2 linked regions of the Arabidopsis thaliana genome follow. The protein of the gene in region 1 interacts with the protein of each later gene in a pairwise test. Each region holds a gene or a part of one and is shown on either strand. Other genes may lie near its edges.

Region 1 (5,409 bases):
ATTTAGTTCCTTAGCTTAAACTCTTGCAACCTTGTTGTGTAGCTTTACTGCTTTGAAGATAGGGGTAATCGCCGTGTAGCATTGAGGCCTGAGCTTACACCTTCTTTAGCGAGGCTTGTCATACAGAAAGGGTAACTAATGCAGAATTTTCTCTCAAGCCTTGAGAATTGTCCTTATTCTTCAATGAGCGGTTTATTTATTTTTGTTTGTAAAAATTCTGTATCAGGTAAGGATGTGAGAATGTTGATTCCCATATTCTTTTTGGTCCAGAAAATCTGTTTCCCTTCCATTGAAGTGGTTTGCTGTTGGGCAGTGTTGGAGATATGAGAGAATGACACGAGGAAGGCGACGTGAGCATTACCAGTGGAATATGGATATTATTGGTGTGCCTGAAGTTACAGTATGTATCTCTCATACCTTTAATCACTTTAGGCCTTCTAGTTTTTTGTTATATGAACCTGATCTGTGTTTAAAGTCTCTATAAGCCGGCTAATTTGGTTCACAAACCTTTTCTTTTAGGCTGAAGCAGAACTAATTTCATCTATAATGACATTCTTCAAGCGAATTGGAATCACTGCATCAGATGTGGGTTTTAAGGTTTCAAGCCGCAAGGTATTTTTGCTTACGTTCTCTTTTGATGTGATATGATCATTTTGTTTCTTGGTTTACACTCTAGATACAGAACCAAGTAACTCACTTGCAATGCTAAACATGAGTTGAGATTATTTTGCACGATCTGCAGCATCTGAATATCCACTGTAGCTAACATCTCCCATAACTTCTTCCTTGTACAGGTTTTACAAGAATTTTTAAAAAAGTATGGTGTACCCGAAGACCTGTTTGGAAGAGTTTGCTTCATTATAGACAAGGTTAGCAATCTAAACATCAATTAACAGCTGCTTTGTTGCCAGAATTGGGACAAGAAGTAGAGAACATCGTGTGTGCTTTGGACAAAGATCTCCAAGGAGCTGCAACCACCATTGCAACCGCTCTTAAAGACAAAGGGCAAACCGTTGATTTAGTATTGGAGAGTAAACCGCTGAAATGGGTGTTCAAGAGAGCGGCTCGGGTAAACGCAAGAAGGCCGGTTCTGGTTGGGAAGTTGGTTCGGTCAGTGTCAAGGTTTTGTCTTCAGGTGAGCAATTTCAAGTCAAACTTGATGACTTGGAGTAGTAGTATCTAAGGCTTGAACAAATTGTTCAATTGTCCTTTTTTTCAAAAGCAATTGAGTTGAGATTGGATTTTTATTTTGTCCTCAAAGGTTTCATTAAGAATTTTATTGATGGATCTTCAATACTCGTTTATTCGTCTAATAGTGATTTACAAAATATACTTTTTGACTTCGAATCAGCCACATGTGGCATGTGATTTTTATTTCAAACCGAGAAATGCTAAAAAGAAAAGAAAATGTGCCTTTCGTGAACCTTAAGCTACATTATCACATAATCTTCGGAACTAGAAAAACTCTTTTGCTCCAGTTTTAGTAATGAAAGAGGATGAACATGATATGTTTATATTTCCTAAAAGCTCAAATCTTATCAACACTAGAATGAGTAAATTTCATATAATGAAAATTCATATCGAATGTGATTGACTAGTGGTATCAACCACACATGTTTTTAACTTTTTGACTTGATCATCCATCTACATTATGATGTATCAATGTATGTTTTTTATATTTGTTTTCATGCTTATTAAAGCCATATAAACATATTTTGGTAGATAATTCCAGTATTTAGCCAACAAAAGAAGAAGACGAAGATAATTTTAGTGTTTAGCCAAAATAAAAATAAAAAGATAATTCCAGTATTATATTCTGATTAACAAAAGACCTAAATTTCACTAAAGAGAATTAATCTTTTGGTAAAATAAAAAAAAAGTAAAGAAAATTATCTTCTTTAACTTTTTGTTTTTTTTTCACCTATGAGTCAGTTTGGTCCCTCTCTCTCTCTCTCATTGTGGACATCTTTTCACCATCGCACAAATAACAAGCCTCCCAACCCCGATCGACTTATCCTCCTCCTTCTCCGGCGAAATCCATTAACTCTCCGCCGCGAAAACCACCTTTCCAGAGTAGTATCACACTAAGAATTCTAATGTTGATCCGCCATTATTGAAGCTTCTAATTCTCGTTAATAACCAAAAACCCAAGTCGATTTTCAAGGTCAGTACTCAAAATCTGGGTTTTCGTCAAAATCAGAAACTTTCCTTGACAAATTTTAACAAATCTCTTTCTCGTTTTCTATTGAATTCTCCAGTAGCGCGGTAGTTAGTTTTAGGTGGAAGAAGAATGACAACTACTGGGTCTAATTCTAATCACAACCACCATGAAAGCAATAATAACAACAATAACCCTAGTACTAGGTCTTGGGGCACGGCGGTTTCAGGTCAATCTGTGTCTACTAGCGGCAGTATGGGCTCTCCGTCGAGCCGGAGTGAGCAAACCATCACCGTTGTTACATCTACTAGCGACACTACTTTTCAACGCCTGAATAATTTGGACATTCAAGGTGATGATGCTGGTTCTCAAGGAGCTTCTGGGTATGTAAACCACCTCAATTCTGTGATTTTTATATTAAAAGGCTTTGATGTGTTTATTGTGATGTTTGGTTTAGCGATTTTTAGGGTTTTCATTCTATTGCAATGGCTGCTTTTATGAGCTTAATGAATATATGAAACTGAACCAGTAGATGTAAGTATGATGTGTGGATCATACTTTTACAAGCTTGAATTTGGCTCTCCTGATATGTATTAGTCTAAAATCTACTAATAATCTGCATATTTGAATACTCATCTTTCCTATCCTTATTGGGACAAAAGATACTGTTTAGGCCATTGTCTTTGTGCGTTAATTTTTGTGTGGAAGTTGTTACATGTGTTCTGTGTAGTTTAGTTGATCATATAATCTATTTACAGTGTTAAGAAGAAGAAGAGGGGACAGCGTGCGGCTGGTCCAGATAAGACTGGAAGAGGACTACGTCAATTTAGTATGAAAGGTCTTATCTCTTTCTCTGCCCCTATTATGCTTTCATCTAAATGCCTTTCAAGTTTCTAGCTATGAATTGTGTGGATAATGCCTCTTAAGATTGGTTATACATTTAACTGATATTATGTTCGTCTGGCCTTCCTTTCAGTTTGTGAAAAGGTGGAAAGCAAAGGAAGGACAACTTACAATGAGGTACGGTAGTTTCCTTTTTAAACAAAAAGCTTCACAGTATTTATGCTTTGCAAGATCCATTCACTTCTGTTTATGTTATATGATGATACTGATTTATTGTGCTTACCAGTGTGATTAAACACTTGTCAAGATCACATATGGGAATATCAATTTGTCTCATGATTAGTACTGCAAACGTGTAGCTCTGTAATACGGTATCTAACAGGTGATAGTACTTTCAGGTTGCAGACGAGCTTGTTGCTGAATTTGCACTTCCAAATAACGATGGAACATCCCCTGATCAGGTATGCGTTTCTTCGATAGTTTCTACCCTGGAACGTGTGCAATACTCGTTGTGAACTCTGATGAAATTATATCATGTGAAAACGTTTTACCAGCAACAGTATGATGAGAAAAACATAAGACGAAGAGTATATGATGCTTTAAACGTCCTCATGGCTATGGATATAATATCCAAGGATAAAAAAGAAATTCAATGGAGAGGTCTTCCTCGGACAAGCTTAAGCGACATTGAAGAATTAAAGGTTTCAACCACATATTCTATGTGCAGATGTTCCATAGCTTGTTTAGAGAATTTTCCTGAATTTGAATTATTTTGTTTTGCAGAACGAACGACTCTCACTTAGGAACAGAATTGAGAAGAAAACTGCATATTCCCAAGAACTGGAAGAACAAGTAATGAACATCATCGATACTCTCGGCTTATCTGCTTCCTGTTACTTTTATCATAGATTCTTACATGGTCCTTCTATCATCTCTGTGTATGTCTGAAAGTATGTAGGCCTTCAGAATCTGATACAGAGAAATGAGCACTTATATAGCTCAGGAAATGCTCCCAGTGGCGGTGTTGCTCTTCCTTTTATCCTTGTCCAGGTAAACTTCACCAACAGCTTCGTATGATCTTAGATTGATCCACAAGGAAACCTCAGAAAAATGAAAAAATCACCTGATTGTTGTTGTTTCTCTGCACCAGACTCGTCCTCACGCAACAGTAGAAGTGGAGATATCAGAAGATATGCAGCTCGTGCATTTTGATTTCAACAGGTAAAATCCAAACACCAGATTTGATCTCTTTTCAGCTAATATATCTATGGAACCGATTACTGACACTGTGACAACTGTTTTCACTATTTGCAGCACTCCATTTGAGCTCCACGACGACAATTTTGTCCTCAAGACTATGAAGTTTTGTGATCAACCGCCGCAACAACCAAACGGTCGGAACAACAGCCAGCTGGTTTGTCACAATTTCACGCCAGAAAACCCTAACAAAGGCCCCAGCACAGGTCCAACACCGCAGCTGGATATGTACGAGACTCATCTTCAATCGCAACAACATCAGCAGCATTCTCAGCTACAAATCATTCCTATGCCTGAGACTAACAACGTTACTTCCAGCGCTGATACTGCTCCAGTGAAATCCCCGTCTCTTCCAGGGATAATGAACTCCAGCATGAAGCCGGAGAATTGAAACACGTATGAAGGCCCCTTGTACAATTTCTGTAAAACTGTAAAGTAGCTCTTGAAAAACTTTACCTGGTTTTTTGACGAATAGTCTGTTTAGCGGTAAATGTACCGGTGGTTTATCGAATCTAGGATCCTTGTCGGGTTTAGCGATTTTAAGAATCTTTGCCATAGGAAAAAAAAAACACTTTGCTCTGTGGTGTAGAAATGAATTTTATTAACCATTTGGATTAGTCCATGTTCGGTTCTGTTATTCGGAAACCCGGTTATGGACTTCAATTTTGGAAATTACGAAACTGAACTAATCGATTTCCGGTTTTGTTGAACCGAAATCCGGTTAAAATATTACCATATCAATCATATCATTAGAAATGTAGTTCTGTTTCATGTAATTCGGTCTGAATGTTAATAAATGCTGGGAACATCGGAGCTTGAGAAAGTCCGGCCATGGCGACGATTTCTCAGATACCTTTCTCTATCTCCTTCCCTTGTTTCGAATTTCGGAAACCATCGTTCTACTATCATCAGCCTCAACTTTTTGTTTCGTACTTGAATTCCACGAAGAAGCATAGTTTTATCTGTTTCGCATGTTCCACCAAACAAACCAGGTTCGAAATTTCTCGTCGTTTTTTTTTTTGGTTTTTGCTTCGATCTGTGGAAAATTGGAGACAGCAGACGTACTTCAATTATTGTTTTGGTTAATTGGTCTGCTTGAATTGAATTTGAACAGAGTTCGTAAGAGAGTGAAGAGCAATGAGGAGCTTCGG
Region 2 (5,494 bases), on another chromosome or scaffold:
TCACTTAACTTTTGTTTTCGGTTTTTCATTGCTATGTTACAGGATGGTAAGGTATCACAGCTTGAGCATGTCTTCATTCGAGGCAGCAAAGTCAGGTGCTGCAACACTTCTTAGAGAACACTGTAAAACCAAACAAAGGAGAACAAGAGAGATATGTCCAGATGCACTACTAGTTCTGTATTTTGGGTTACCAAGATGTTTGAATCATTGACAAGTTTTCGTTGTGATCTATTTTCTTCTTTGCGCATTCTCCATTTCTGACAGTAGATGAGTAAAACAAAGTACATTGTTTTCATAAAGGTCTTAATAAGACTAAGATCAGAAAACAAAGATAAATTGAAGGAACAAGATTATGAAATACTAGAAGTAATGATTATATCCTCCTTCAATAAAGACTGCAATACTGTAGACTTTGAGTTGTCTAAATAACGTAGTCTATATGGTCATTTATAACATTAATATATAAGCTATAAAAGAATATTGTACTTGTATTTTCATCATGTAAAAACCTTGTCAACTGCAATTTTCCCAAATTACAATCCAAAAAATTGCCATGTACTTGTAGAATATTTGATAGGGTCTAGAGATTCAGTTCCAGAGTACCAAAACGACATGTAGAAGAATATTTGATTCAGTCTAGAGGTTCAGCTCCCGAGTAATATTAACCAAACTGGATCATAGATTTTCCTGAGTCTATACAAGAATCGATTCACAAGTTGAATATAGGAAAGCATGATATCAGAAGATTCTTTTTATTCTCTCTCAAGTGAAGAAAGATCTAAAGACCTTAGAAAGAGAAGAATACACTCTTTTTGGGCTACTTGCCATGATATCTAAAGATCCATTCTTCTCCCATTTTGGGCAACTTGCTCTACTATCTCTCTTTCTCTCACACTCTTTTTGTTCTAAAGAAAAACTCGAGTTAAGTCATATTAGATTCTTATTAATATTAAATCAGAAACCCAGCTGGTTCAGTTCTTGCAGCATGACAGAACTTAGATGTGTTGTACTTTCTGTGAACTCCTGTGAGCTTCCCTGTTCCTGCCTTGTGATGGAAAGCAACCATCTTTCTCGCACATGCCCTAGAAAAAACACAAAAACCCACTGTCAGGATACCAAAATCTCATGTCATGGGGTTTTCAAAAAAATCAATGTATGTTCTTACAGTAGCTGTTTTTCGTTGTAGCCTGTGTGAAACTCACAGGTTTTGCTCCATTCTTCAAATCCCTTAAGTGTACACTGAGCAGTGTAGATTGCTGAGGCCGCCAGCTTAGATGGAAGATACTCTAGCATCTCATACTCCACAAGGCAAAGCTCGATCATAAAGAATGATAAAATCTCAAGCTGAAACCACAATTGCATATACCACACCGATTTAGATATTAGGCCTGATGGTTTCCGGATATAATGATTCAAGCTTTTTTAGTTAGGGAGATATATACCTTCTTGTCAGATTGGGCAGCTTTGAGAAATCGTTTCATGAAAACATATGGAGTTGGTAGAGAGAAATTGAATTGCAAGGTGTTGGCCATTAGCTTCTCCTGCAATAGAAACCAAAAACAGGTAAATTCAACTATGAAGCATCAACCAGTGGTAGTTAATGATCAAGACAAAGTTGTGTATTCACCATATCTAGCACTTCTCTTCTAGAGTAAGCTTTGTCAGAGATCAAGATGAGATCATCTACCACTGGAACTGAAACTTCTTCATATTTACATGCAAGCAACAAAGCAGTAACACCAACAAGCTGAAGCTTTTTCCTCACGATTTGATGAACCGCAAGGAATCTGTCGATGACATTGATTGTGAGATAAAGAGTTTCCTCCATCAGTTCAAACTTGTAGTGCACCTGGACAAGATAATTTTCCAGTCAATTTATCTTCAGGCACATTGAGACAAAAAAAGTGGCATTAAATAGCTTTTGTCTAGATCTGTCTACCTCAATTAACCAGTCAATGAGGATTCCTCTCATTCTCTCATTAAGATCTTGTTGATTGTCCATATAGTTAGGAGGCACGCAACTAAGTTTCTGCAGAATCATAAGAATGAATCAAACATAAGTACAAGATTTTGAAACTACAATCCTTTCGATGATAAAGAACACAAAAGCAAAAGTTGATGTGAAACAAGACAAATTCACCTCAAAATTCTTGTAGAAGGTATGCATATCATGGATATATTCAACCGCAGCCAAAGGATTATTCTTATCACAGGCATCAATATCGATCACAGGCTCTTCTTCTTTGTCTGCATCTTCCATTTCAATCTCCTTCTCCTTTTGAAAGACACAAACAATATGAGTAACTATATTAACACTTCCATAAACAAAGCAAAGAATGGTTAGGAAATATGTATACCATCTGTTCAATCTCCTCCAGCATTGCTTCAGTATGTTGTACAAACATTGGCTCATTAGAGTCACCTCCTTCTTTATCACTTTCATCCACATCAATGATAATCGTCTCTGGTTCTTCACTTGAAACTGAGTCTGGTTTCTTAGTTTCCTAAGAGTTAAAGATCAGAACTTTAAAATCCGGTCTATATCATCATTGCTCTAAATGAAACATACATTGAACAATAGGGTACCTCATCACGGATATGTGGCTTATGATCTGCTAACTGAGCAGCAAACTTCCTGAACCAACAGAGAGTAGTAAAAGTTAAGTAATCAGACAATGTGAGATACTCAAAGTAGACAAGAGTAAAGATCTATGCTTACCTAGTAACTGGTCGATGCACAGGTGGTTTATTACAAATGCCATCTCTTCTGCAAAGTCACAGAAAGAAATAGGGTTCCTATAAGAGTCTAATCAAAGGGAGAAGAAAAAAAAAACACTAATCTTGAATCTGAGGATTAAAGTGAACTTACTCAGAAACTGATCTCTTGTTGACAGCATAAGGGTAAGACGGCGCTTCAGTGATGTTCTTGTTAATAGTACTTAGTGCTCTTCTTGTCGGTCCTGTTGTTGCCGTCGTCTTGATCTTTCCTACTACTCCTCCCCCTACATCAAGTAAATTCAAAATCAATTTGGGGGAAAAATCAAAGAGAACGAAAGTTTTGATTTTTAATAACAAAATCGATCGATTTAGGGTACCTTGGAGACTCATTGATCCGATTAATCCAAGGCTATTTTCATCTGATCTAACCATTTTCTTCTTCTTCGTTATCTGCGGAAGTTATTTATTTTCATTAAATCTCTTCTCTTGAAGAAATCAAATTTCAAAATCGAAACATCCCCCAACTTAAAAGCAGGGGTTTTCAAAATTGAAACTAAAAAAACAGTCTTGACAATCAAAACCCTATAGATCCGGTTTAATAATCTCAATGAAAGACCCAATCAAGAACAACAAAGACCTAAATCTCAAATACCCAGAAGATAACGAAAACCCACGAATTGGTTTTTCAAAAAAATCACCTTTTCACAGTCAATTCAAAGAACCAACGCGAGATTAAGTCGACCCTTGATCATAAATTCTTATGAAACCCAGTGAATCTCCTAAACCCTAATAGTCTTTTATCCCGTTGGATCCAAGTTGATCAAACAAAGGAGAGAAAGAGAGATCTTTTAGTAAAACCCAAAGATTCAACCACGCTCTCTTTCTCTCTAATGGCTTCGGTTTTGAAGATACTTCCCACTCTCTCTCTATCTCTCTTTATAAGGGTAAAGAAAAAAAGAAAAAAAAAAGAGTAAGATTGATTTTGAAGATTAGAAGAGCGTCTATAGTGTATTAGTTTTCTTTAAAATTAACGGCTAGTTCATCTCAGCCGTTGGATCAACGCCACGTGTTCCAGATCGAAAGTTGTCTTCTATTCAACGGTTATAATTGTATATCATCTATGTATAGATTTATTCAAATTCTTTGATTTTTTTTTCTTTTATTCTATTTTGGGGAAGACAACTATTTTTATTTTATTTTTGAAAATTACACCATGAAATAATATTCATTTCTATAAAAACAAATAAAACACTTCTATTTAAAAGAATCAAATATGTCTCCTTTGACCAAAGACCAAGATTCGTTTATATTAATCTCAAGTTAAATGATTTTCTTTTTCAAGCAAGAAATCTCACACAAAGTTTAGATTTTCTTCAAGTGTATCATTAGAATATTATACTACAAGGGCAAAGAAAAAAAGAAAAAATAAAGAATAATAGAGATTTTGAAGACTAGAAGAGCGGATATATTGTCTGTATAATATCTTTAAAATTAACAGCTAGTTGCCTAGTTCATATCAGCTGTTGGATTAATGCCACGTGTTCCAAATCGAAAGTTGCCTTATGTTCAACGGCTATCATTGTTTTTCATCCATGTGTATGTGTACTTATTCAAATTCTTTGGGTTTTTTTTGTTTTCAATAACAAATATCTCGGTAATATTTATTAGGTTAACATGATAACAAAATATTTATATCAATAAATTTATAATTATGTCATGCTAAGTCATTTTGAATCGCAATAAGTTATAACTTATGTGATATATTTATATTTACCGTCTTAACTCATTTATTATATCATATAAAAAAATTAACGAGTTACTATAACGTGCAAAATATGAATTTCATCCAATAAGATTATTATTGTCACTACCTCTAGATAAAGTATTAGTTAACTCGGTAATTTGATTGTTAACCAATTTGAACTGAATCTGAACAAAAACTATCATTGTCGTAATCTTCACAGGTACAGTGGTATGGCAATAAGAATAGTTATATAATATAGAGGTATTATTGTATTTGCCACAAAAATAGTGTAAGATAAACAGTAGAAAAAAATGGACTTAATTTTCGATTCTTCCGAGTAAGAATGATAATACCCTTCCCTTTTTTATTTTGGGAAAGACAACTATTTTTATTTTATTTTCGAAAATTACACTATATAATATACATTTCTATAATAACAAATAAAATACTATTATTTAAAAAATCAAATACATCACCTTTGACCAAAAACCAAGACTCGTTTAAGAAATCAAATACATTTATATTAATCTCAAGTTAAATGATTTTCTTTTTCGAGTAAGAAATCTCACACAAAGTTTAGACCTTCTTCAAGTGTATCATTAGAATATCGTACTATATTTTTATGGGAAAAAGATATATAGAGTTGTTTACATGATAATGGCATTGATATACTGCATTTACTATCAATCACTTTTAAATCAATCAAGTCATTTGTGTAGAAGTGTGAACATTGCGTTTCTATGTAGAAACACAACAATAGCATTTTGTTTCCATTGATATAGATACATTAAATAAATATGATATGCCATTAGGTTAAGTTTGAGATCATTCTATAAGTTCTTGTTTCAGATTTTTGTTATTGGCATTTAAATTGACATGTATATCTTTTAGGTTGCATAAGTTCTCAGTCTCTTGTAATTAATATCCGTTTAATGAATACAACTGTTTTTTTTTCCATTACAGGTTGGCCCAAAACTTACCCACCAGACTAGAGCCCATTAGTATCTTAGATAATAGATATATTAGGCTTGG

What was found.
Region 2: the proteins of DPB (region 1) and CYCB2;3 interact in a two-hybrid assay, tested with the Arabidopsis thaliana proteins (one large-scale study listed by BioGRID).

Annotation. Positions count from the first base shown.
Region 1 is NC_003076.8:840,552-845,960, forward strand, and holds DPB (Transcription factor DP), read left to right. Parts: upstream 1-1,936; 5' UTR 1,937-2,164; intron 2,165-2,258; 5' UTR 2,259-2,290; coding exon 2,291-2,541; intron 2,542-2,916; coding exon 2,917-2,996; intron 2,997-3,134; coding exon 3,135-3,178; intron 3,179-3,399; coding exon 3,400-3,462; intron 3,463-3,555; coding exon 3,556-3,702; intron 3,703-3,784; coding exon 3,785-3,853; intron 3,854-3,952; coding exon 3,953-4,051; intron 4,052-4,151; coding exon 4,152-4,222; intron 4,223-4,315; coding exon 4,316-4,649; 3' UTR 4,650-4,903; downstream 4,904-5,409. Other genes in the region: AT5G03406 (Class II aaRS and biotin synthetases superfamily protein), read left to right, coding at 43-131, 271-400, 520-612, 795-893; AT5G03420 (5'-AMP-activated protein kinase-like protein), read left to right, coding at 5,090-5,250, 5,373-5,409. UniProt on the Arabidopsis thaliana protein: Involved in the regulation of the G1/S transition. Increases the DNA binding activity of E2F proteins after heterodimerization.
Region 2 is NC_003070.9:7,134,124-7,139,617, forward strand, and holds CYCB2;3 (Cyclin B2;3), read right to left. Parts: upstream 3,706-5,494; 5' UTR 3,417-3,705; intron 3,169-3,416; 5' UTR 3,151-3,168; coding exon 3,096-3,150; intron 3,003-3,095; coding exon 2,870-3,002; intron 2,768-2,869; coding exon 2,720-2,767; intron 2,636-2,719; coding exon 2,587-2,635; intron 2,505-2,586; coding exon 2,358-2,504; intron 2,276-2,357; coding exon 2,141-2,275; intron 2,030-2,140; coding exon 1,940-2,029; intron 1,850-1,939; coding exon 1,628-1,849; intron 1,542-1,627; coding exon 1,443-1,541; intron 1,345-1,442; coding exon 1,166-1,344; intron 1,083-1,165; coding exon 950-1,082; 3' UTR 536-949; downstream 1-535. Other genes in the region: AT1G20600 (AP2/B3-like transcriptional factor family protein), read left to right, coding at 43-114.